Linked DNA regions of Macaca mulatta. The protein of the gene in region 1 interacts with the protein of each later gene in a pairwise test. Links are inferred from orthologs where the notes say so. Each region holds a gene or a part of one and is shown in the gene's direction. Other genes may lie near its edges.

Evidence for each region. The genes of interacting proteins can lie anywhere in the genome.
Region 2: the proteins of TSC22D4 (region 1) and MAD2L1 interact in binary tests that used the Homo sapiens proteins (3 or more experiments, as listed by UniProt). The two-hybrid records come from large-scale screens. The link is inferred for Macaca mulatta from reciprocal best matches to the Homo sapiens genes TSC22D4 and MAD2L1.
Region 3: the proteins of TSC22D4 (region 1) and ZMYND10 interact in binary tests that used the Homo sapiens proteins (3 or more experiments, as listed by UniProt). The two-hybrid records come from large-scale screens. The link is inferred for Macaca mulatta from reciprocal best matches to the Homo sapiens genes TSC22D4 and ZMYND10.

What each region holds. Positions count from the first base shown.
Region 1 is NC_133408.1:47,676,293-47,683,361, reverse strand, and holds the start of TSC22D4 (TSC22 domain family protein 4), read left to right. Parts: upstream 1-3,125; 5' UTR 3,126-3,546; intron 3,547-3,981; exon of another isoform or gene 3,982-4,084; 5' UTR 4,085-4,250; coding exon 4,251-5,012; intron 5,013-7,069.
Region 2 is NC_133410.1:128,904,870-128,912,088, reverse strand, and holds the start of MAD2L1 (mitotic spindle assembly checkpoint protein MAD2A), read left to right. Parts: upstream 1-2,515; 5' UTR 2,516-2,590; coding exon 2,591-2,663; intron 2,664-3,502; coding exon 3,503-3,649; intron 3,650-7,219. UniProt on the Homo sapiens protein: Component of the spindle-assembly checkpoint that prevents the onset of anaphase until all chromosomes are properly aligned at the metaphase plate.
Region 3 is NC_133407.1:113,820,666-113,827,922, reverse strand, and holds ZMYND10 (zinc finger MYND domain-containing protein 10), read left to right. Parts: upstream 1-2,553; 5' UTR 2,554-2,779; coding exon 2,780-2,871; intron 2,872-3,132; coding exon 3,133-3,241; intron 3,242-4,503; coding exon 4,504-4,620; intron 4,621-4,737; coding exon 4,738-4,791; intron 4,792-4,909; coding exon 4,910-5,047; intron 5,048-5,147; coding exon 5,148-5,236; intron 5,237-5,335; coding exon 5,336-5,436; intron 5,437-5,701; coding exon of another isoform or gene 5,702-5,787; coding exon 5,788-5,960; intron 5,961-6,216; coding exon 6,217-6,342; intron 6,343-6,424; coding exon 6,425-6,546; intron 6,547-6,657; coding exon 6,658-6,783; intron 6,784-6,871; coding exon 6,872-6,947; 3' UTR 6,948-7,245; downstream 7,246-7,257. Other genes in the region: GATOR1 complex protein NPRL2, read left to right, coding at 1-35, 121-188. UniProt on the Homo sapiens protein: Plays a role in axonemal structure organization and motility. Involved in axonemal pre-assembly of inner and outer dynein arms (IDA and ODA, respectively) for proper axoneme building for cilia motility.

The sequences.
Region 1 (7,069 bases):
ACGTATAGGTCGGGAGCGGTGGCTCACGACTGTAATGCCAGCACTTCGGGAGGCTGAGGCGTGCAGATCACTTGAGGTCAGGAGTTCGAGACCAGCCTGGCCAACATGATGAGACCCCCCCATCTCTACTAAAAATACAAAAATTAGCTGGGCGTGGTGGCGGGTGCCTACAATCTTAGCTACTCGGGAGGCTGAGGCAGGAGGATTGCAACCTGGGAGGCGGAGGTTGCAGTGAGATGAGATCATGGCACTGCACTCCAGCTTGGGTGACAGAGCGAGACTTCATCTCAAATTAAATTAAATTAAATTAAGACATAAAAATTTGTATGTATTCACTCAACAAACATTTCTGCAGAGGTCAGCAATGTGCCAGGGCCTCTAGACTCAGATACCAGTGCCTGAGGCAGAGAAAGGGATTGCCCAAAGATAATTTTTTTTTTTTTTTTTTTTGAGACGGAGTCTCGCTCTGTCGCCCAGGATGGAGTGCAGTGGCTGGATCTCAGCTCACTGCAAGCTCCGCCTCCCGGGTTCACGCCATTCTCCTGCCTCAGCCTCCCGAGTAGCTGGGACTGCAGGCGCCCGCCACCTCGCCCGGCTAGTTTTTTGTATTTTTTTAGTAGAGACGGGGTTTCACCGTGTTAGCCAGGATGGTCTTGATCTCCTGACCTCGTGATCCGCCCGTCTCGGCCTCCCAAAGTGCTGGGATTACAGGCTTGAGCCACCAGGCCGGCCCCAAAGATAATTTTTGGATAGTTTGTAGCAAGTCAGCAAGAAGGAAGGAGGGCCTGGGGACGGAGGGACCAAGGCCATGTTCTGAGTGTTGCTAGAGGAGAAGAGGTTCTGTGAGGGACAGAGGGATGCAGTCTGGAGGGGTAGGGAGCAGGTGGGAGGCTGCTTCCCAGACATCACTACTTGGGAGGCTCACAGACCTGGGCTATGGCAGTCATTGTTACTATGGCTTAAGGGAGAGAAACAGGAGTGTGGATGTTTCTAACAAAGAGATAAAGAACAAATACATAACGAGGGTAGGTATTCCATTGTTTTATTTTTACCTAACCCTAAAGAGGGGTTAGAAATTTCCCTGAGGCCAGGCACCATGGCTCACGCCTGTAATGTCAGTTTTTTGGAAGGCCCAGGTGGGAGTATCATTTGAGGCCAGCCTGGGCAACATAGTAAGACCCTGTCTCTATGAAAACTAAAAAATTAGCCAGGTGTGGTGGAGTACACCTGTGGTCCCAGCTACTAGGGAGGCAGAAGCAGGAGGATCACTTGAGGCCAGGAGTTCAAGACGACCCTGGGCAACATTGCAAGACCCCCATCTCTACCAAAAAAAATTTTTTTTTAAAGAAATTTAGCCAGGCGTAGTAGTGTGTGTCTGTAGTCCCAGCTACTTGGTAGGCTGAGGCGGGAGGACCAACTGAAGCCAGGAGTTTGAGACCATACTGGGCAACATGGTGAGAGCTCCCATCTCTACAAAAATTTAAAAATTAGCTGGGTGTGGTGGCGTGCATCTAAAGTCCTAGCTACTTGGGAGGCTGAGGCAGGAGCATGGCTTGAGCCTAGGAGTTCCAGGCTGTGGTGAGCTATGATCACACCACTGCACTCCATCCTGGGCAATAGAAGAGAGAGAGCGAGAGAGAGAGAGCACCTGTCTCTAAAAAAAATGTGGGGGAGTGGTTGGGGCAAAGGGAAATAGTATAACATCCAGGATTTGGTTTCAAATAGTCCAGCAAAATACAGCTGGCTCCCACATGTCATTTCATTGAATGTCATTTCATTATAACGTTGATGATTTTTTAAAAATTAATTTTGGGTTGGGACCACCATCCGTGTGGAGTTTGCATGGTCTCCCCATGTCTGCATGGCACGTTTGAAAATTTTCATAATAATCCACTTTTTTTTTTTTTTTTTTTTTTTTTGGTGAGACATGGTCTCATTCTGTTGCCCAGGCTGGAGTGCAGTGGCACAATGTAGGCTCACTGCATCCTCAACCTCCTGGGCTCAAGAGATTCTCCTGCCTCACAGCCTCCTGAGTAGCTGGGACTACAGGTCTACATCACCACACTCAGCTTTTTTTTTTTTTTTTTTTTAAGACGGTCTCGCTCTAATCGCCAGGCTGGAGTGCAGTGGCACGATCTCTACTCACCGCAACCTCCGCCTCCCGGGTTCAAGTGATTCTCCTGCCCCCTGAGTAGCTGGGACTACAGGCGCATGCCACCACACCTGGCTAATTTTTATATTTTTAGTAGAGATGGGGTTTCACCATGTTGGCCAGGATGGTCTCAATCTCTTGACCTCGTGATCCGCCCGCCTCGGCCTCCCAAAGTGCTATTTTTTAATTTTTTGTAGAGATGGGGATCTCGCTATATTGCCCAGGCTGGTCACAAACTCCTGGGCTCAAGGGATCCTCCCACCTCAGCCTTTGAGTAGCTGGAATTATAGGTGCACATCACCATGCCCAGCCAATTTTTTTTGTTTGTTTTGTAGAGACGAGGTCTTGCTATTATATTGTCCAAACTGGTCTCAAGCAATCCTCCTTCCTTGACCTCCCAAAGTGTGGGGATTACAGGCATGAGCCACCACCGGGGTCCGGCAATAATCCACTTTTAAAAATAAGGAATGGGGGGAATAATAGTACCTTCCTCATGCAGTTGCTGTGAAAACCAAAGGAGAATGACAGCCACAGCCGCCCCGCAGCAGGGACTGGGCACTTCTGGGTGGGCATCCAGCACACCTCCCGGCCTGTGCCTTCCGTTTCTTCTGTGTGTCTCTAGGCCAATGGCAGCAACTGACTACAAGTAAGGGAATCCCTCGCCTCCCTGCAAGCTCCTCCCCTTTCTCCCCGAGCCCCGCCCTCTGCAGCCCCTGCCTGCAAGAGTGGGGCTGGGCCCGGCAGGTGTGGGGTTAAGAGAGTCTGTTTGGGGCCCCCAGGAGCAGCAGCCTAAGCAGTGGCTGCAGCAACTGCAACAGCAGCGGCTGTGGCAGGCCTGGCCCCGGGCCAGCTGGCGGGAAGCCCCAGGAGGGAGGGAGGGAGGAGGAAGGGGAGGAGGAGGGGAAGGAGGAGGAGGAGGAGGAGGAGAGGAGCAGTCAGCAGGCCCGAGGAGGCAGGACTTCCTGGTGTGGGGGTTGTCAACAGCTCAGAAGGAGAAAGACGGAGAGGCAGAGACCCAGGGGAGCGGAGGAGCGGAGACACGGACCCAGCGGGGCCACGCGGGAGGAGACTCGAGACACCCACTCGCTGGCTGCCACCGGGAGCAGCGGGGGGCTCGGCCGCCCTCTCCCACATCAGTCTCCAGACCCCTGGGGCTTCAGCGGCCGCTCCTGGGCTCCTCGGAGGAGCCGCGGGTTCCTTCTTTTCCGGAGAGCAAACTTTCCTCGGAGATGCCTCCCAGGATGAGCTGAGGCCCCCGGAGAGGACGGGGCAACCTCTGATCGCCGCCTGCGTGCCCCGCCACTCCCCCTGGCCAGAAGGCCCCAGGGAACGCACAGCCCGACCTCTTAGGCGCCGGGACCCTCAGGCTCAGATCAGTGGCTGAGGCCCCAGAGGTAGGATTCGGGGCTGGGTGGGGCGCTGGGGGTAGCCGGGCAGGGCCTGCCCCAGGGATGTGGGAGCTGGGGTGGGCTCGAGGCCCAGGAGAGGTCTCTCTGAGTGGCCGGGCCAGGCTGGGGAGCTGCTTCACCCCGGTTCTCCCAGGCCCTGGAGTCCAAGCTCTTGGGACAATACCCGCCCCCTGAGTCAGAATCTCAGATGAGAAATGCACAACTCTGGAACTCATCTGCCTCTTCCTACTCTGAGCGCCTTTTTGGATCTGGTCCCCTCTGCCCTGGTCTCTGTCATCTCTTGCCTGTCTCCGGGTCTCTGACGGTTTCCCCTTCCCCCACTCTGCTCCCCGGAGAGGAAGCCCCGGAGGTGGCCTGCCCACTGGTTTCACACACACACACAGACACACACACACACTCTCTCTCTCCCTCTTTTTCCAGTTTGCAAACTCAGCTCTGGAGTTCAGCAGCAACAGCAGCAGGAAAAACCTGCCCGTGCTCCCCCCTCCCGCCACCTCCCCTCTCCTCTTCTCCCCTCACCCAGCAGGCACCCCGGGTTCCCACCAGGCCCTCCTGCCATGTCGGACCCAGACGTCCCCAGGGGCCCGGATGCCCCCACCATGTGGCCCCCTTGTTCCAGGGGTGCCTGAGCCCCTTCAAGGAGTCCCAACCCACCCCCAACCTTGGCCCAGCCCTGAGCCCCAGGGACCATGAGCGGGGGCAAGAAGAAGAGTAGTTTCCAAATCACCAGCGTCACCACAGACTATGAGGGCCCGGGGAGCCCAGGGACTTCAGATCCGCCTACTCCACAGCCCCCCACCGGGCCCCTGCCCCGCCTGCCCAGTGGGGAGCCCAGCCCTGATCCGGGGGGCAAGGGCACCCCCCGGAATGGCTCCCCACCACCTGGGGCCCCCTCCTCCCGTTTCCGGGTGGTGAAGCTGCCCCACGGCCTGGGAGAGCCATATCGCCGTGGTCGCTGGACGTGTGTGGATGTTTATGAGCGAGACCTGGAGCCCCACAGCTTCGGCCGACTCCTGGAGGGAATTCGAGGGGCCTCAGGGGGCGCCGGGGGCAGATCTTTGGATTCCAGGTTGGAGCTGGCCAGCCTCGGCCTGGGCACCCCCACCCCACAGTCAGGCCTGTCTCAGGGCCCCACCTCCTGGCTCCGTCCACCCCCCACCTCTCCCGGACCTCAGGCCCGCTCCTTCACTGGGGGACTGGGCCAGCTGGTGGTGCCCGGCAAAGCCAAGGCAGAGACACCCCCACTGTCGGCCTCCCCACCCCAGCAGCGCCCCCCAGAGCCTGGGACCGGTGAGAGTGCGGGCACATCCCGGGCTGCCACGCCCCTGCCCTCTCTGAGGGTGGACGCGGAGGCTGGGGGCTCAGGGACCAGGACCCCTCCACTGTCCCGGAGGAAAGCTGTAGACATGCGGCTGCGGATGGAGTTGGGTGCTCCAGAGGAGATGGGGCAGGTAAGACCTGGGTTCTAGGGCTCGCCCATCAGCCCTGGCCTAACCTCTATCTTGGGACTCCCTCCTCCCACCCCTTCTCCTCCCCTTCCTTCTCCCCCTCCTCCTTCCCGTCCCTTCCCCTCCCCTCCCCCTCCCCCTCCTCCTCCATTACTTGTCTATCAGATCAGACAGCCCTCTTCTCTGTGCCTGCCAGGTCACTCTGAAGCCCCTTCCTCCTCCTTCATTTTCTGTCTCAGCCTCCTTCCTGTTTTTCTGCACCCTCTCTCTTTCTCCCTGGCCTCTGATTCTCTGTCTTGGTCTTCATGTAGCCTATAGCATATGTGGCCCCCTCACCAGGCCTTCTTCTGTCTTGGTCTCAGCCCCTCTGCCTCTAGGTGATGAGGGTGGAGGCCTCAGCTGGGTAGCTGGGTCCCTGGGGGAGGAGCTGCCAGGATTTGGGGAGGAAAGGTAAAAGGTAGGCTTTGCGCGCTGCTAGTCTCTGCACTGCAGCCCCATCCTGAATGTAGGGGTCTTTCTTTTCCCCCAGCCACCCATCTCAGTCCTACCTCCAGCTTTGCTGTAGGCCAAGTGTCACTGAGAAATTGGGTGGGGGGAACACCTCTCAGGGATGGGGAGGGGGCTTGCTGGTTGATCCTTTTCACCCCCCAGTTGTCTGTCTCAACTCCCTCCATCTGAGCCTCTCTGTGATTGATAACTCCAGGGTGACCACCATGGAGTGGGGGAGAAAAGCCCCAGAAGGAGTTCAGTCCCATACTCTTTCTCCTTCCTGTCTCCAAAAGAGGAACAAGTCCGGGCTGGGGGGGCAGCATGCCTGGGTCCCCGTGGTGGGGGTGAGCAGCCAGAGACAAAAGGGTGGGATACTTCTGTCCTGCGGGGAGAATATAACACCTCGGAGGGCTGGGGAAAGGCAGGGGGTGTGAGGATGCGAACTCTTTCCCCTTCCTGGCCTTGGGCACAAACCACAGTATAAAAATAACCTGGGACTGGATGTCTGGGTCCTGTCAGGACCGGTCAGGACTGGCTCCCCCCAACCCCCTCCTGGCCTCAAGCTCACGTCTCTCGTGACGCCCCTTCCTACCACTCCCCACCCCCTCCCCGCCCAACTCTTCTTGAACTCCTGCATTCAGCACCCACCCCAGGGGAGAAGATGCTGTTTCTCTTCCTGTCCTGTCCCCAGACTCTTCCAAAGCAAACCCCCTTGGCCTCCAGCTTCCCTGCTCTCTGTCCTTAAGCCTGGCCTGAGCTTCTCTTGGGGCCACAGACCCTGCCTGTCTCTCTCCAGTGCCCCCTGCTCCCCAGCTTTCCCCCACCTCCTGACGGTCTGCTGTTTGCACGTAACTGTTTTGCTATTTCCCTGCCCAAAAGTCTGTCTCCCTTCCACATCCCCTCATGCCTCTTCTCCCTCTTAACAGAAGGGAGTGGTGGAGAATGGCCAGGGGACACCACCTGGGCCCCCTTCCTCTGCTCTGTCCCTCTAACCACCCTGGACTCTCTGTTCTTGGCTTTTCTGAGAAGCTGGGGCCTCCCGGGGCCTCACAGAGGCGTCTTGTCATGTTCCTGTCGCCCCCGCCCTTTTTGCTGCCGCCCCCAGCGCCTGTTGGGCTATGCAGGTCCACGCCCAGGCTCCGCCTCCCCCCAGCTCCACAACCAGCCCCCGCCAACCCCAGGGCTGAGCGCAGGAGCAGAATTCCACCTGAGTCCGAGAAGTTTGAGAGGGGAGGCGAGAGTGAGGGGTGGGTGAGGGGATGGAGGAGCAGTTTCTGAGGATCCATTCATTCTACAAATAGCTACTGAGCAAACTGACCTTCTAGCCGGGGAGAGACACAATAAATACTTTAATTTCAGATAATGTTAGGTGCTATAAAAAAAATGAAACAGTTCAGTGGACCAGTGAATGATGGGGAAATACCTCTCTAAGAGGTGACATTGGAGTCATTTTAAGAAGGCAGCCTGGGTGCAGTGGCTCACACCTATAATCCCAGCACTTTGGGAGGCTGAGGTGGGAGGATCACTTGAGGTCAGGAGTTCAAGACCAGCCTGGCCAACATGGTGAAACC
Region 2 (7,219 bases), on another chromosome or scaffold:
AAGTTTCTTACCACCCTTCCCACTTGGTTTGAAGTCTCCTAGAGTCTGATCTGTACTTTTTCTATGACAATAAACTTTTAGATTCATCCTAATTTTATTTTTGATACAAGAAAACAGATCAGGTATAACACAAATCATTATACAATTTTTTACCATAAAAGAAATGCTCTGAAGTAGCACTATGAATGCTATGAAAATACTTCAGAGAGGTCCTTATACAGTTCCGAAGGGCCAACGAAAATGTCTTTAAGCAAAGTAACATTTAAGTTAAGAAAGAGTGTGAATATAATTAGGAATCTGAGCAGATAAAGTGAAATTTCTGGGTAGAGAAGGAATGTACATTATGGAAAGTACTAAGGTGGAAAAGAACATGGAGGGCCAAGTTATTGAAAGGAGCAGACAGACGAGGAAAGTAATCTAATAGCGGGCTTCCCATGCAGGCAGAAACCAGATAAGGCCAAACTCATGAACTTCGAATTTTCATTAAAAAAAAAAAAAAGTATAAATATTTAAACCGAAGTAGACTACAAACTCCTCAAAAGACACAGACCATTCCTTCTAAACCTCATGTCTTATGTCTCCTCATAGGGTACAGACATTTAGTACTTCCTCTGTACACAGAAAAATCATAATTATGCCAGTCTTTTAATTTCTAGAATTTCCAGGTTATACTAAATTATTTGTAGCTTCAGAGAACTTAAAAACTACAATACCATGAAACTCAAGAAAATCTTTCCGGAAGTGCTGATTGTTAATATCAAGTTCCTTAGAAACAAGAGGCAGTTTTTATGTGGAAAAACATGGGCACCATGTTCTACCAGCGTGATGCCAAAATTCTAGCTCTACCCAAGCTTCCAGTGGAAGGCGCGAAGGACATCCAACTCTCTTGCTTCTTACTCCGCACTTTCCCTGACACTGTTCTTCACATCAAGGATTGTGATTTATACACACACAGAGATGAAAGGATTTAAGGAAAATTTACTGGGTCAAGTCAGCCTGCAACCTATCACACCCATCCCTTACTCTTCAAACTGATCAAAACATGATATACAACACTGTACAGGCAGAACTCTAAGCCAGTTCCCCACATTCCTGGCCCCTAGAGAGCACACCTACATAATCCCCTCCCCGGAGTCTGGGTAGGAAAACTACAAATATGAGCAGATATCACTTCTGGGACTAGGTTCATCAAAAGGGAGATGTGACTGGGTCTGACTTAATCAGGTGAGCCTTTAAAAGGGGCTGGGGTCTCCCCGAAATCACAGAGATGGGAAGTGTGAGAAGGCTTGTGGAAGGGCTAGCTGACAAACATAGCTGGCCTCTGGCCAACAGCTGGCGAGACAAAATGGACCTCAGTCCAACAACCCCAAGGAAATTCCGCCAGAGGGCTTAGAAGGACCCCAAACCTCAGATGAGATCCCACTTGCAGACCCTTCGATTTCAACCTTGTGTGACTGAGCAAAGCAGTCAACAATGCCACGTCCAGACTTCTGACCTACAGGACTGAGAAAACGAATAGGTGTTGTTTTGAAGTCACTGATGTGTGGTAATTCGTTATGCAGCAAACGGAAAACTAACAACACTCAAGTATTTCTCTTATAATGTCTGGCAGATATGAGAGTTTTTCAGGCGTCGTTTTACAAATATCTTCCTAGCTGCTTTAAGAATAAACTTCTTTCAAAATGGACATGAACATTAATTGTGCAATATGTCCTTAATAATTCTCACCCTTTTCAATGAAAAGTCATTGAGTTTGGTGAGTCAAGATTCATTGAAAAATTCTTCAATGTTGATGGGCCTCTTTGGTGAGGTGACCTTATTCCTGTCCTGCCCCCTAAGGGTGGGCAGGGTGGACAGAACGCAGCCTGGACTTCCGGATGCAGCCCCCTACCGCCCGACTTGCCTACCCCGCTGGCCTCGGAGGGGTGGCCCTAAGCCCAGGACAGACGTGGACAAAGGGCAGAAAAAAGGATGCAGTTCTCTTTAATCCCTAACCCAATTTCTCGGGAAAAGCCGCGCTCCCACACAGAAGGCGAACCCTCTAAAGCTGTGGGTTGGCTGCTGTGCACGTAGTCGCTTTAGGAATTCCCAAAGCATCTAGCGGAAGTTTAGATCTTTCACTAGGGGTCACATGGGCCAGTACGGGCGCAGCTGGCAAACCGTTCCTTTCAGTTTGAAAGTATCTTTGAAACTCGGAAACTGTGCTCCTTGGTCTTTCAGTTCATAAGCCTAGAGAGCGGCTACTGAAATTGGAATCGACATCTTCTTCCCTCGGCCCCAACTAGTAAACCACGACCAGAAGACACAGCCTAACCTAAACCTACCGGAGTGTCACAACCGGCAAGCGCGAGCAGGTCCACCAACTCCGCCTGCGCAAACCGGCCGTTCCCGCGAGATCGCAGGAAGGCGGAGAGAAAGGGCAGGGCCCCGCCGCGTGGGGCGGGGCTTAGAGGCTCGTCGCGCCTGCGCAGAGGACCGGACAACGCGCTGCGTCGTTACTTTTGAAACGCTTGGCGGGGAAGTGCTGTGGGAGCCGCTGTGGTTGCTGTCCGCCGAGTGCAAGTGCGTGCCTTTGTTTGTGTCCCTGGCCATGGCGCTGCAGCTCTCCCGGGAGCAGGGAATCACCCTGCGCGGGAGCGCTGAAATCGTGGCCGAGTTCTTCTGTAAGTCCTCGCGCCGGCCATTATATTGGGGGGAACTGAGTCGTGGCGGCTCAGTAGGCCCACAGCTCGGCCTCTGAGACCGGAGAAGTAATCTGGGAGCGGCGGCTGCAGGCTGTTCCTCCTGACGCGTTGCTATAACGTGGAGCTGCAAGCCTGCGTGCTGCTGGGGCCTACCTCGCGGCGTAGCCTCTTCCGGAGCGTTTCTTCCTTTAAGTGCAGATCCGTCCCACCTCCCACCCCTTACTTTCCGATACAGGACACAGCGTGACTGGGGTGGGTCCCAGTGTGGGTGTGTATGTGTGTGTTTTTTTTAACTGCGAGAGCACCCTCACCCTCCCACTCTAAGTGATTATTAGGCATGAGGCTGGCGGTAAACAAGATTTTGGGAACCCTTGTTCTCGAACAGGCCAGCTGCACGTTGTAAAGGAACCTGGCAGGATTTGGGAGGGAAAGGGGAAGATACAGGCTTGTCTGGAGCAAAGTGACTATTCAGTCAGTTGCTGACTCGAATGCAACAGCCTATTTTGACATCCTCTAGCCTCATAATCTGAATTTGGACTTGGATTACAATGAGGTGAAATTTGGCAATAGTAGGTTGATACACTTTGGCTTTTTTTTTCCTTGGCACGTGAAAACAATTATCTTTTTTTACTTAGATACAAGACTTTTAAGGATTTTTAATGCCACTTTGTACCTACTCTGCTTTCAGCAAGATACACGTGTGTTCAGTCATTTATAGCTGTATAGCCTAATGAAAATATAGCCACATCCAAATATATTTTATTTTCCAGAGTTATGCAGTGATAATGAATTTTCTGTAACATTTCTTTTGCTTGCAGCATTCGGCATCAACAGCATTTTATATCAGCGTGGCATATATCCATCTGAAACTTTTACTCGAGTGCAGAAATACGGACTCACCTTGCTTGTAACTACTGATCTTGAGCTCATAAAATACCTAAATAATGTGGTGGAACAACTAAAAGGTATTTAATCATTGGAAATAATTTGAGTCTTGCAGATTTTTTAGCATCTCAAGTGGTCATTTTTCCGCTCTGCAAATAGAAGTGTACTCACATCTCAAATATATTTTAAGTTGAGAGGAAGCAAATAATATATAAAATGGAAGAAATTCACTCTTCCCCCACTACATTGTGAGTGGGCTGAATATTTTGATGTAAGAAATCTGATATGGCTGAAAAATAGTCTTCATCAACTCCCTTAGAAGTGGCTTTCGCAGTTAATGTGGCCAAATGGAACAGGTTGGAATTTTACATAATTATAATGGTGTTCACTATCTGAGAAAATATACACTACATATTCTCAATATAATGTATTTTCTGTAACTAATTAGTTTTCTGTAGTCTAATGTTATCATTAGATTAATATCAAGGAAATTGGATTCAACCAGATAAACTTCAAAAAAAGAAAAAGATTAGCTGCTAAATGACAGAACACTCACAGTTTTTTTGTTTGTTTGTTTTGTTTTTCACATATTTCTGTTTGTCGTTTTCAAAAATTCTGCCGGTGATTCAGTAAGCCTTTTCTGTCTGAACGTTCGTTTTTCTTTAGTTCGAGAAATTGCTGTATTACCTGTCGGGTGAATACTTGTTCTTCATCTATTTCTTTTTCCTTTCTAGAATTCCTGTTAGTTTCTCTTTCTTGTTACCCTCCACTTAGGATTCTCATTTCTAATTTTTCAAATGTTTCTCCCATTTGATCTTCTAAAATTTTTGAAAGTACTACAGTGGGCATCTTTTTTTTTTTTTTTTTTTTTTTTAGAAATTATTTCTTTTGTTGTTGACCAGAAATGTGTCTTTGTTTTGCCGTTTTTATTGCATTTTTACTAACCTATTTTTAATATGCCCTTCCGATAATGGCCATGTGAACTTTTTTAGCTTGATAACTCTCTTTCAACCTATACTATCCTCTAGATAAACTGTTAACATTGCCTTGCCTTTTATGTGTACAGGAGTGGAATGCCTCAACAACCTGTGGATGTTACGTCTTAAATTGACAGGCAAGGGAAGATAGCCCTGTTGACATTTTGGCCTGGATATTTCTTTGGTGTGGGTGCTTTTCTGTGTGTTATAGAATGTTTACCAACATCTATGGCCTTTACTAACCAAATGCCAGTAACAAACCACCTTGCTCTGACAACCAAAAGTGTCTCCATAAATTATATTGCCAGATGTGCCCAAGGGGACAAAATTGCCCTTAGTTGAGAACTGCTGCTGTAGTAGATTGGTATTGTCAAAATAGCAAGATGAGACCTCTTTTGGTGTGGGAATAGACCTCTGTTCTCAAGTGTACACAGGAAAGACATTGATAGGAGTGTCCACCTCTCCCAGAGTTGCATCCAAAATTGGGGGTCAGGAATAAATCATCTGTAGTGATTCATAGGGCTGCACTCAGATCATTTGGCCTGGAACCTCTAGGCAACTATGGATGTGTGTTTCCATCTTAATTTGCTAGAGAAGCAAGCATTGCCTAAGCCAATGGTTTTTAGGTTGTCTTCTTTGAGACTGCATTGAAGCCAATGGTTTTTAGGTTGTCTCCTTTGAGACTGCATTGATGACACTTCACGTTATGTGTGTCTAGACCTTCCTATTTAACTTCTCCCTTTTATTTTAGTTAAAGTGGAAAAATTGCTCTTCCCTAGAGGCAAGTTGTTCTGTTTGTTTTTTGTTTGGAGTCTCACTCTGTCACCCAGACTGGAGTGCAGTGGCGTGATCTCCACTCACTGCAACCTCTGCCTCCCGAGTAGCTGAGATTATAGGCGCCTGCCACTATGCCCGGCTAATTTTTGTATTTTTACCAGAGACGTGGTTTCACCATTTTGGCCAGGCTAGTCTTGAACTCCTGACCTCGTGATTCACCCACCTCTGTCTCCCAAAGTGCTGGGATTACTGGCGTGAGCCACCACACCCAGCCAGTTGTTTTGTTTTGAATGTCATTTCCTCTAGCCTTTTTTAGGGTCTTGATCCTGTTCTCTGTTATATTTTCTGCTTCTGTGTTTTGATTTTAATTATCCCCATTGTTTTCATCTCTCCAGTTTTAAAGGAAGAACAAATTACCACCCAGTCTCCTCCTTTTCAGAGTGAAACTCATAAAAAGTTGTTGATAAATGCCAGGGATCACAAGGCCCACAGGCCGCATCCAACAGGTGGCCTGTTTTTGCACTGCCCACAAGCTAAGAATATTTTTACACTTCAGGTTTGTTTAAAAATAAGCAACAGAGACCTTGGTGGCCTATAAGCTTAAAATATTTACTAATTACTCTTTTTTGTAATTTTTCTTTACAAAGTTTCTTTACAAAAACTTCGCTGACTCCTGAATATGCTGTTTCAATTTCCAAGATTACTTCAAGGCTCAATCTGAGCCCCCGTTCTGTCTTTATAATTTCTCTATAGGTGATTTCTGACCTGTGTATAGCTTCACTAGCAACCTCTGTGTAGTCAACTCACAAACTTATATATCTATCCCAAAGCCTCTTTCTCCAGACTCATATATTCAGCAGCTATATCTTTATGTAGCTATCCCAGAGATAACATATACTCAAGCATACTAAAAATTAAATTTAGGATCATATCCAAAACTGATACTCTTTAATTTTCTCTCTGTCAGTGGCTAAACCGTCCAAACAGAAATAAAAGAAACTTGGAAGCTGTCCCTGAATCATGCTTCTTCCTTACTACCATGACTAAACCCAATAAATTTTAACCATGAAATCTCTTACATTTACCTACTGCTTCGTCTCTACCAGTTTATCCTCCTACAAGCTTTCATTAACTCTTGCTCGAATTACTGATGGACCAACTAGTGTCTCTAGATCCCCTCTTTAACATCTCCAGTCTACTTTCCATATCACAGCTAGAATGATAGTTTTGAAATACAAGACTAATTGCTTTACATCCTGCTTCACACACAGTAATGACTTCACTGGTCTTGAAGTGCATATTTTTTAAATTTGATCCACCAGGCTTTGCGTGGTCTGGCTTCTATTAATCTTGCAAGGATTGTATTGTTTTATTTTGTTTGTTTGTTTGTTTCTTGATTGCACTTGTAGTGAGCTGCTTCCAGTCTTCTAGTTATATGCTCTTCCCTTGTGAGTATTTGAGGCCTGTATCTTCTTTCCTATCCTTTTGCATATTTAATGCTGTTTATCCCTAGAGCTAAACTCAAACCTTTTCTGACCTCCGTAAGTGGCTCAAATTTTCCTTCTTTTATGCTCTCATTGCATCTTACATCTCTCTTTCATAGCAGCCATTACAATGATAATTTGTCATTTATTGGTGTGATGAGTAGATGAATGCCCATCTCCTATGCTTTTATCTTGGATTAGGATGAAAGTACCATATGTTCAGTATTCTGTCCTCAGCACCAATTACTGTACCTGGTACAGATACTGAGAATTTGAAAACAGAAGTTAGAGTATTGATGGTGCAAATTTTCTTGCACGTAGGAGGAAGTCCAAGATAGCAGTGGTAGGAATTTGCTGAGGATAGGGAGTAGGACCTGAGAAGAGAGCTACTTTATGATGCAGTGGACCAAGA
Region 3 (7,257 bases), on another chromosome or scaffold:
CTGCCACAGCTATGACGAGATCTGCTGCAAGACAGGTGGAGGCAGGCGGGCAGTCAGGGTGGGGTCAGGGTAGGGTGGCCAGGCCAAGGCCACCGACCTCTCCTCCACCACCCCACCCAGGCATGAGCTACCATGAGCTGGATGAGCGGCTTGAAAATGACCCCAACATTATCATCTGCTGGAAGTGAGGCTGGTGGTGGCTGGATGGACACATTGCTGTGGGTAGTCCCTCCTACCAGGAGGCTTGTCATACTGTCTAGAGCTTGACTCTTAGTTCTGTAAATAAAGACATCCATTTCAAACAGCCTTTATTGAGTGCTGCTTCTGGGCCAGCCACCGGAGACCCAGCGGTGAATGAAATAGCTACGAGCTGTGCTCTAGATCGCCATCTGGTGGGCAGGACCGACAATCGACAAGTAAAAGTGCCGGTTAATTACAAAAAAAAAAAAAAATCGTCTGGTCGCGGTGACTCACCTGTAGCCCCAGTTACTCAGGAGGCTGAAGTGGGGGGATCACTTGAGGCCAGGAGTTGGAGGCTACATTTAGCTGTGATCCCATCACTGCACCCCAGCCTGGGTGATAGAGCAAGACCCCATCTCAATAATAATAATAAACCTAGAAAGAAACAGATGTAGCTGGGTGCTGTGGCTCATACCTATAATCCCAGCACTTCGGGAGGCTGAGACGGGTAGATCACCTGAGGTCAGATGGTCAAGAACAACCTGGCCAACATAGTGAAACCCCATCTCCACTAAAAAAAATATAAAAAATTAGCCAGGTGTGGTGGTGCGCACCTGTAATCCCAGCTACTCAGGAAGCTGAGGCAAGAGAATCACTTGAACCTGGGAGGCAGAGGTTGCAGTGAGCCGAGATCATGCCACTGCACTCCAGCCTAGGTGACAGGAGACTCAATCTCAAAAAAAGGAACAGATGTGATCAAGAGTGAGTTGGGAGGTCGAGGCAGGTGGATCACGAGGTCAGGAGTTCAAGACCAGCCTGGCCAAGGTGGTGAAACCCTGTCTCTACTAAAAATACAAAAAACCGCGTGTGTGGTGGGTGCCTGTAATCCCAGCTACTTGGGAGGCTGAGGCAGAGAATGGCTTGAACCCAGGAGGTGAAAGTTGCAGTGAGTGAGACCACACCACTGCACTCCAGCCTGGGTGACAGACTGAGACTCTCAAAAAAAAAAAAAAAAAAAAAAAAAAAAAAAAAAGTGGGTTGGAGGCAGGGACTGCTCTGGATTAAACGGCCAAGAAAGGCCATACTGAGATGTAAACTGAGCCCTGAAGGAAGAGTATTCCAGGCAAAGTGCAAAACCCTGAGGCAAAACCTCTTTGGAATGTATGAGGTAGGTCCAGGGAAGAAAGGAGGAGAGGAAAGAATCCAAGTCCCGAGGTACAAGACAGGCAAGAAGTAGGTCTTGCAGAGCTGCTGGTAAGCAGCACCCGACCTAGCATTTTGAGGGCCAGAGGTAGTTGCAGAGCCCCTCTCATGTGAAGGAATGATGCCTATACACTTTTTTTTTTTTTTTTTTGAGACAGAGTCTCCCTTTGTTGTCCAAGCTGGAGTGCAGTGGTGGAATCTTGCCTCACTGCAAACTCCGCCTCCTGTGCTCAAGCGATTCTCCTGCCTCAGTCTCCCGAGTAGCTGGGACAACTGGTGTGTGCTACCACACCTGTCTAATTTTTGTACTTTTTTTTTTTTTTTGAGACGGAGTCTTGCTCTGTGGCCCAGGCTGGAGTGCAGTGGCCTGATCTCAGCTCACTGCAAGCTCCGCCTCCCGGGTTTACGCCATTCTCCTGCCTCAGCCTCCCAAGTAGCTGGGACTACAGGCGCCCGCCACCTCGCCCGGCTAGTTTTTTGTATTTTTTAGTAAAGACGGGGTTTCACCGTGTTAGCCAGGATGGTCTCGATCTCCTGACCTCGTGATCCGCCCGTCTCGGCCTCCCAAAGTGCTGGGATTACAGGCTTGAGCCATCGCGCCCGGCCTAATTTTTGTACTTTTAATAGAGACAGGGTTTCACCATGTTGCCCAGGCTGGTCTCAAACTCCTGACCTTAAGTGATCTGCCCGCCTCGGCCTCCCAAAGTGTTGAGATTACAGGCGTGAGCCACCGCGCCCGGCGTGATACACACTTTTAAGGCTCCGGGGCTGTCCGTGAGGATCAAGCGTGGAAGTAAGTCTACAGAAAAGGCTGCCGCAGTTAACCCACGACAGGTGATGACAGTCTGGACATAGGGAGGATGGAGAGAAGTCGTGCGCCCTGGCAGTATTTCAGGAGCCAACTAATGGAGCCGGGACGCGAGAAACAGAGGAATCAGGAAGCCATAAGGAGGAGGTGGAGCAGCGGGTGGGTCAAGATGCCGCAGCAGCAGCAGGAGGAGCTCGTGGGGTCGGGGTTACCCCCATCCCCGTGCAAGCCGACTTGGCGTCCGAGGGCAGAGTCCAGACCACAAGGAACTGGAGCTCAGGAGAGACTCGTGGTCCACATCGCGAGAAAGCTGTGGGAATCCAAATACTGTGGCGATTGGCAGCCCCGTAGGCGAGGCGGGCTGGAGACCCGCCCGGATTTAGGCGCGAGCCACCTCCAGGGGCGGAGCCCAGGCCGCACTGCGCAGGCGCGGCTAACCCGTTTCCATGGCTGCGAGAACTCACGCTCCCCAACCGTCCCACAACTGTCCTGTCCCAGACTTTGGCACCGTCGGGGTCCGTCGTCCCCGAGTGTGTCAGCATCCCCACCCCGGCTGCTGCCCAGGATCCGCCGGACCCCGGCCTCGATATGGGAGACCTGGAACTGCTGCTGCCCGGGGAAGCTGAAGTGCTGGTGCGGGGTCTGCGCAGCTTCCCGCTACGCGAGATGGGCTCCGAAGGGTGAGGCACCCGGGTCAGGCGGAGTCACGGAGTCATTGTCCCTGAGTGGGGGAGCTGGAGCCTGACATGGGGGGAGGGGCTGCCCAGTGTGGAGGGGCTCCCAAATGGGGGAGCAGAGTGTTCCGAGACAGGAATATAATTGTTCCTGAGCCCCCTGTGCCCCCTCAGGATCAGGTTAGGCTTCAATAGGATCCAGCCCCCATCCCCACTCCAAATGCACACACGTGGACCCACATGCACTTACACAACCCTCTGAGGCAGGTGGAACCAGCAGCACGAGAACCTGGAGAAGCTGAACATGCAAGCCATCCTGGATGCCACAATCAGCCAGGGCGAGCCCATTCAGGAGCTGCTGGTCACCCATGGGAAGGTACCCCGAGGTCACAGGCAGGGTTCCTGCCTTCCCCCATACCTCACCTACTCTAACCCTCAGGAGTCCCCTGTGTGCTTTTCCCCTCTGGCCTGGTACACCTGTCCTCCCTGAAGGGGAGAGAGGAATGTGTTACATGTTTCATTTTGTGTCGCTGTTGGACAGGACTCTGGCACACCAGGCTAGGTACAGGGCATGAGTTGATTAGGGAGAAAGCTGTAGGTCCTAAAACAGCTTAGGCTTCGAGGGGAAGGCCCAAATGCTAAAGGCATCTGTGAATTGACTGTAAGGCTGGGGAGGGGGTGGGGAGGGCAGGAGGGAGGGGAGATAACTTAACTGGAAGTAGAACTTTGGCATGGAAGGAGGCAGCCTTCCTAACATGAGAGGGGAAAGTTAGAAACCAATGAGATGGCTGGCTGGAACATGGACCAGGGAGTGTCACCAGCAGATGACCTGAGATATCAATTGACCAAAAAAAAAAAAAAAAAAAAAAAAAGCCAGGCATGGTGGCTCATGCCTGTAATCCTAGCACTTTGAGAGGCCAAGACGGGTGGATCACCTGGGGTCAGGAGTGCAAGGCCAGCCTGACCAACATGGTGAAACCCTGCCTCTACTAAAAATACAAAAATTTGCTGAGCATGGTGGTGCACACCTGTAATCCCAGCTACTCGGGAGGCTGAGGCAGGAGAATCGCTTGAACCTAGGAGACAGAGGTTACAGAGAGCCGAGATCGTGCCACTGCACTCCAGCCTTGGTGACAAGAGTGAAACTCTGTCTTAAAAAAAAAAAGAGTTCCTTTGCAAGAGAAAGGTGGAACTCATACAAGGGGATAGGATAAGAAGAACAGGGCACTGTGAAGGGTCCTGAGTAAGAGTGAGGCCAAGGCACACAAGAGCCTTAGAGAACCACAGGACAGGGACAAGAGGGAGGGCATGAGCAGAAGGGCTGACTTGAAAGGGACGCCTGAATGGGCGGGGAGAGGATAAGGGGGCAGGTGCAGGCAGGGCAAGGCAGTCTGGGAACTGGGCAGGAGCCAGTCACATAAGCATGAGGGACATCCACAGAGGTGTTGGGAGCAGCTGGAAACGAAGGTCCGAAATGCAAGAGAAAAGTCAGGAAGGATAGCCATGGGGTTTGGGATAGTTTAGGGGCCCAGCAGTGTTTGGGGAGATCTGGGCTGAGCTGAGCCAAGCTGGGGATAGGAGGGTTGCCAGGCAAAGGTAGGCCCATCTCATCCCTGTCCTTTACCCCATCCTTCAAAGGTCCCAACGCTGGTGGAGGAGTTGATCGCAGTGGAGATGTGGAAGCAGAAGGTGTTCCCCGTGCTCTGCAGGGTGGAGGACTTCAAGCCCCAGAACACCTTTCCCATCTACATGGTGGTGAGCTGGGCCCCTGGTTCATACCTCCTCCCACTCCTTCAGAGGGCTCTGGACTGGGGAGGGGAGCTGGTAGCCCCTATCCCTACCACAGGCCCTGTCCCTCTCTTTGTCTGTCAGGTGCACCACGAGGCCTCCATCATCAACCTCTTGGAGACAGTGTTCTTCCACAAGGTGAGGGACTATCTCTGCCCATGGGCCACAGTTTCAGGTCAGGGCCTGGCAGGAAGGGAGGTTGTATCTGTGTGGGGAGGGCATCAGACACAGAAAGTTTCCCTCCCCCTTTCCCCAGGAGGTGTGTGAGTCAGCAGAAGACACTGTCTTGGACTTGGTAGACTATTGCCACCGCAAACTGACTCTGCTGGTGGCCCGGAGTGGCTGTGGTGGCCCCCCTGAAGGGGAGGGGTCCCAGGACAGCAACCCCATGCAGGTGGGTTGAGGTTACCTAGGATTGTGAAAGCCTAGGTCTGGGTTCCCCAAGGCCTGCACAGGCAAGGGTAGCCCAGCATGAACACTGTGTGACCTCGCAGGAGCTGCAGAAGCAGGCAGAGCTGATGGAATTTGAGATTGCACTGAAGGCCCTCTCAGTACTGCGCTACATCACAGACTGTGTGGACAGGTGGGCAGTCCGACTGGGCCTGGGCCTACCGTGGAGGGCTGGAAGACTGGGCCTGTAGCCTGCCTCTGCTCACCTCCTTCACAACGTCCCTGCCCCTAGCCTCTCTCTCAGCACCTTGAGCCGTATGCTTAGCACACACAACCTGCCCTGCCTCCTGGTGGAACTGCTGGAGCATAGTCCCTGGAACCGGCGGGAAGGAGGTAGGGTCCTCCCACACCAGCCTAAGCCCCAGGCTACTGCTTCAGGATATCTTTTTGATAGAGGGGGCAGTTTGCACACACGAAGACAAACCCCGTCCCCAAGCCCATCTGAGGATACCAGGATGCCTCAGCCAAGAGTGGCCTAGACCTGAGCTCTGCAGCAGGCCAGGCCCATGTGTCCACTACTGAGGCTCACTCTGCTCTGGGGTCAGCAGCACTATAGCCTGGGCAAGTCCTGTGGCCCAGGTTCTCCCACCATTCCCAGGCAGTGGTCAGTCTCCCAGGCCCCACAGCTGGCTCACTTGAAGAGAATGCAATGCCTGTACCCAGTGTGCTGGTTCCTCTCCCCAGGCAAGCTGCAGCAGTTCGAGGGCAGCCGTTGGCATACTGTGGCCCCCTCAGAGCAGCAAAAGCTGAGCAAGTTGGACGGGCAAGTGTGGATAGCCCTGTACAACCTGCTGCTAAGCCCTGAGGCCCAGGCGCGCTACTGCCTCACAAGTTTTGCCAAGGGACAGCTACTCAAGGTCGGACTCCCTCTGCACCAGCCCCCACAGCCCCAGCACCGCCCTCCCCATCCTACCCTGACCCTGTCCCTGCTGTTTATCTTTGCCCACCCACCTCAAACCCCGTGCTCTTTTCAGTCCTTGGGCCTCAGGTGACACACCAGCTAGTGGGACATGGACCCCCACAGGCATGCTCAGCCCAACCCAGCCCCTTCCTTTTCCGTGGCCCCCTGGCCAGCACCTGCATCACACTGGCCTCCACTGGACACTCTTGCAGCTTCGGGCCTTCCTCACAGACACACTACTGGACCAGCTGCCCAACCTGGCCCACTTGCAGAGTTTCCTGGCCCATCTGGCCCTGACTGAAACCCAGCCCCCTAAGAAGGACCTGGTGTTGGAACAGGTAGACACTGGAAAGTTAGCTCCTCAGGACCACTGTCCTACTTTACCAGCACCTTCCTGCCACTCTCCACTCCTTTCCCTAGATCCCAGAAATCTGGGAGCGGCTGGAGCGAGAAAACAGAGGCAAGTGGCAGGCAATTGCCAAGCACCAGCTCCAACATGTGTTCAGCCCCTCACAGCAGGACCTGCGGCTGCAGGCACAAAGGTAAGTCCTGTGGAACTGGCAGGAGGAGTGGATGGGATGCAGGAGGCATGGATGTGGGCAGGGATGCCCCCACCTTCCAAGGCCAGTCAGATCTTCCTGACTTTCCCCCAGGTGGGCTGAGACCTACAGGCTGGACGTGCTAGAGGCAGTGGCTCCAGAGCGGCCCCGCTGTGCTTACTGCAGTGCAGAGGCTTCTAAGCGCTGCTCGCGATGCCAGAATGAGTGGTATTGCTGCAGGTGAGGGTATCCTAGGACCTTGGACCCCTAAGTCCTACTGCCACATCCCCCACATGCACTGCCCTCCTCAACACCCACCTGCCTGCAGGGAGTGCCAAGTCAAGCACTGGGAAAAGCATGGAAAGACTTGTGTCCTGGCAGCCCAGGGTGACAGAGCCAAATGAGGGTTGCAGTTGCTGAGGGCCAACCACCTATGCCAAGGGAATCCACCCAGAATGCACCCCTGAACCTCAAGATCACGGTCCAGCCTCTGCCGGAGCCCCAGTCTCCGCAGTGGAGAGCAGAGCCAGCGGTAAAGCTGCTGACCCATCCCCCTCCTCCCCACCCCAAGGGAAGGCTCGAGACTTCCTGCCCCACCTGGTGGGCAGGCCAAGTGCGTTGCCTCAGCAAACTGGGCCAGGAGGGCGAAGGCCGGATGTGGGGACCCTCTTCCTCTAGCACAGTAAAGCTGGCCTCCAGAAACACGGGTATCTC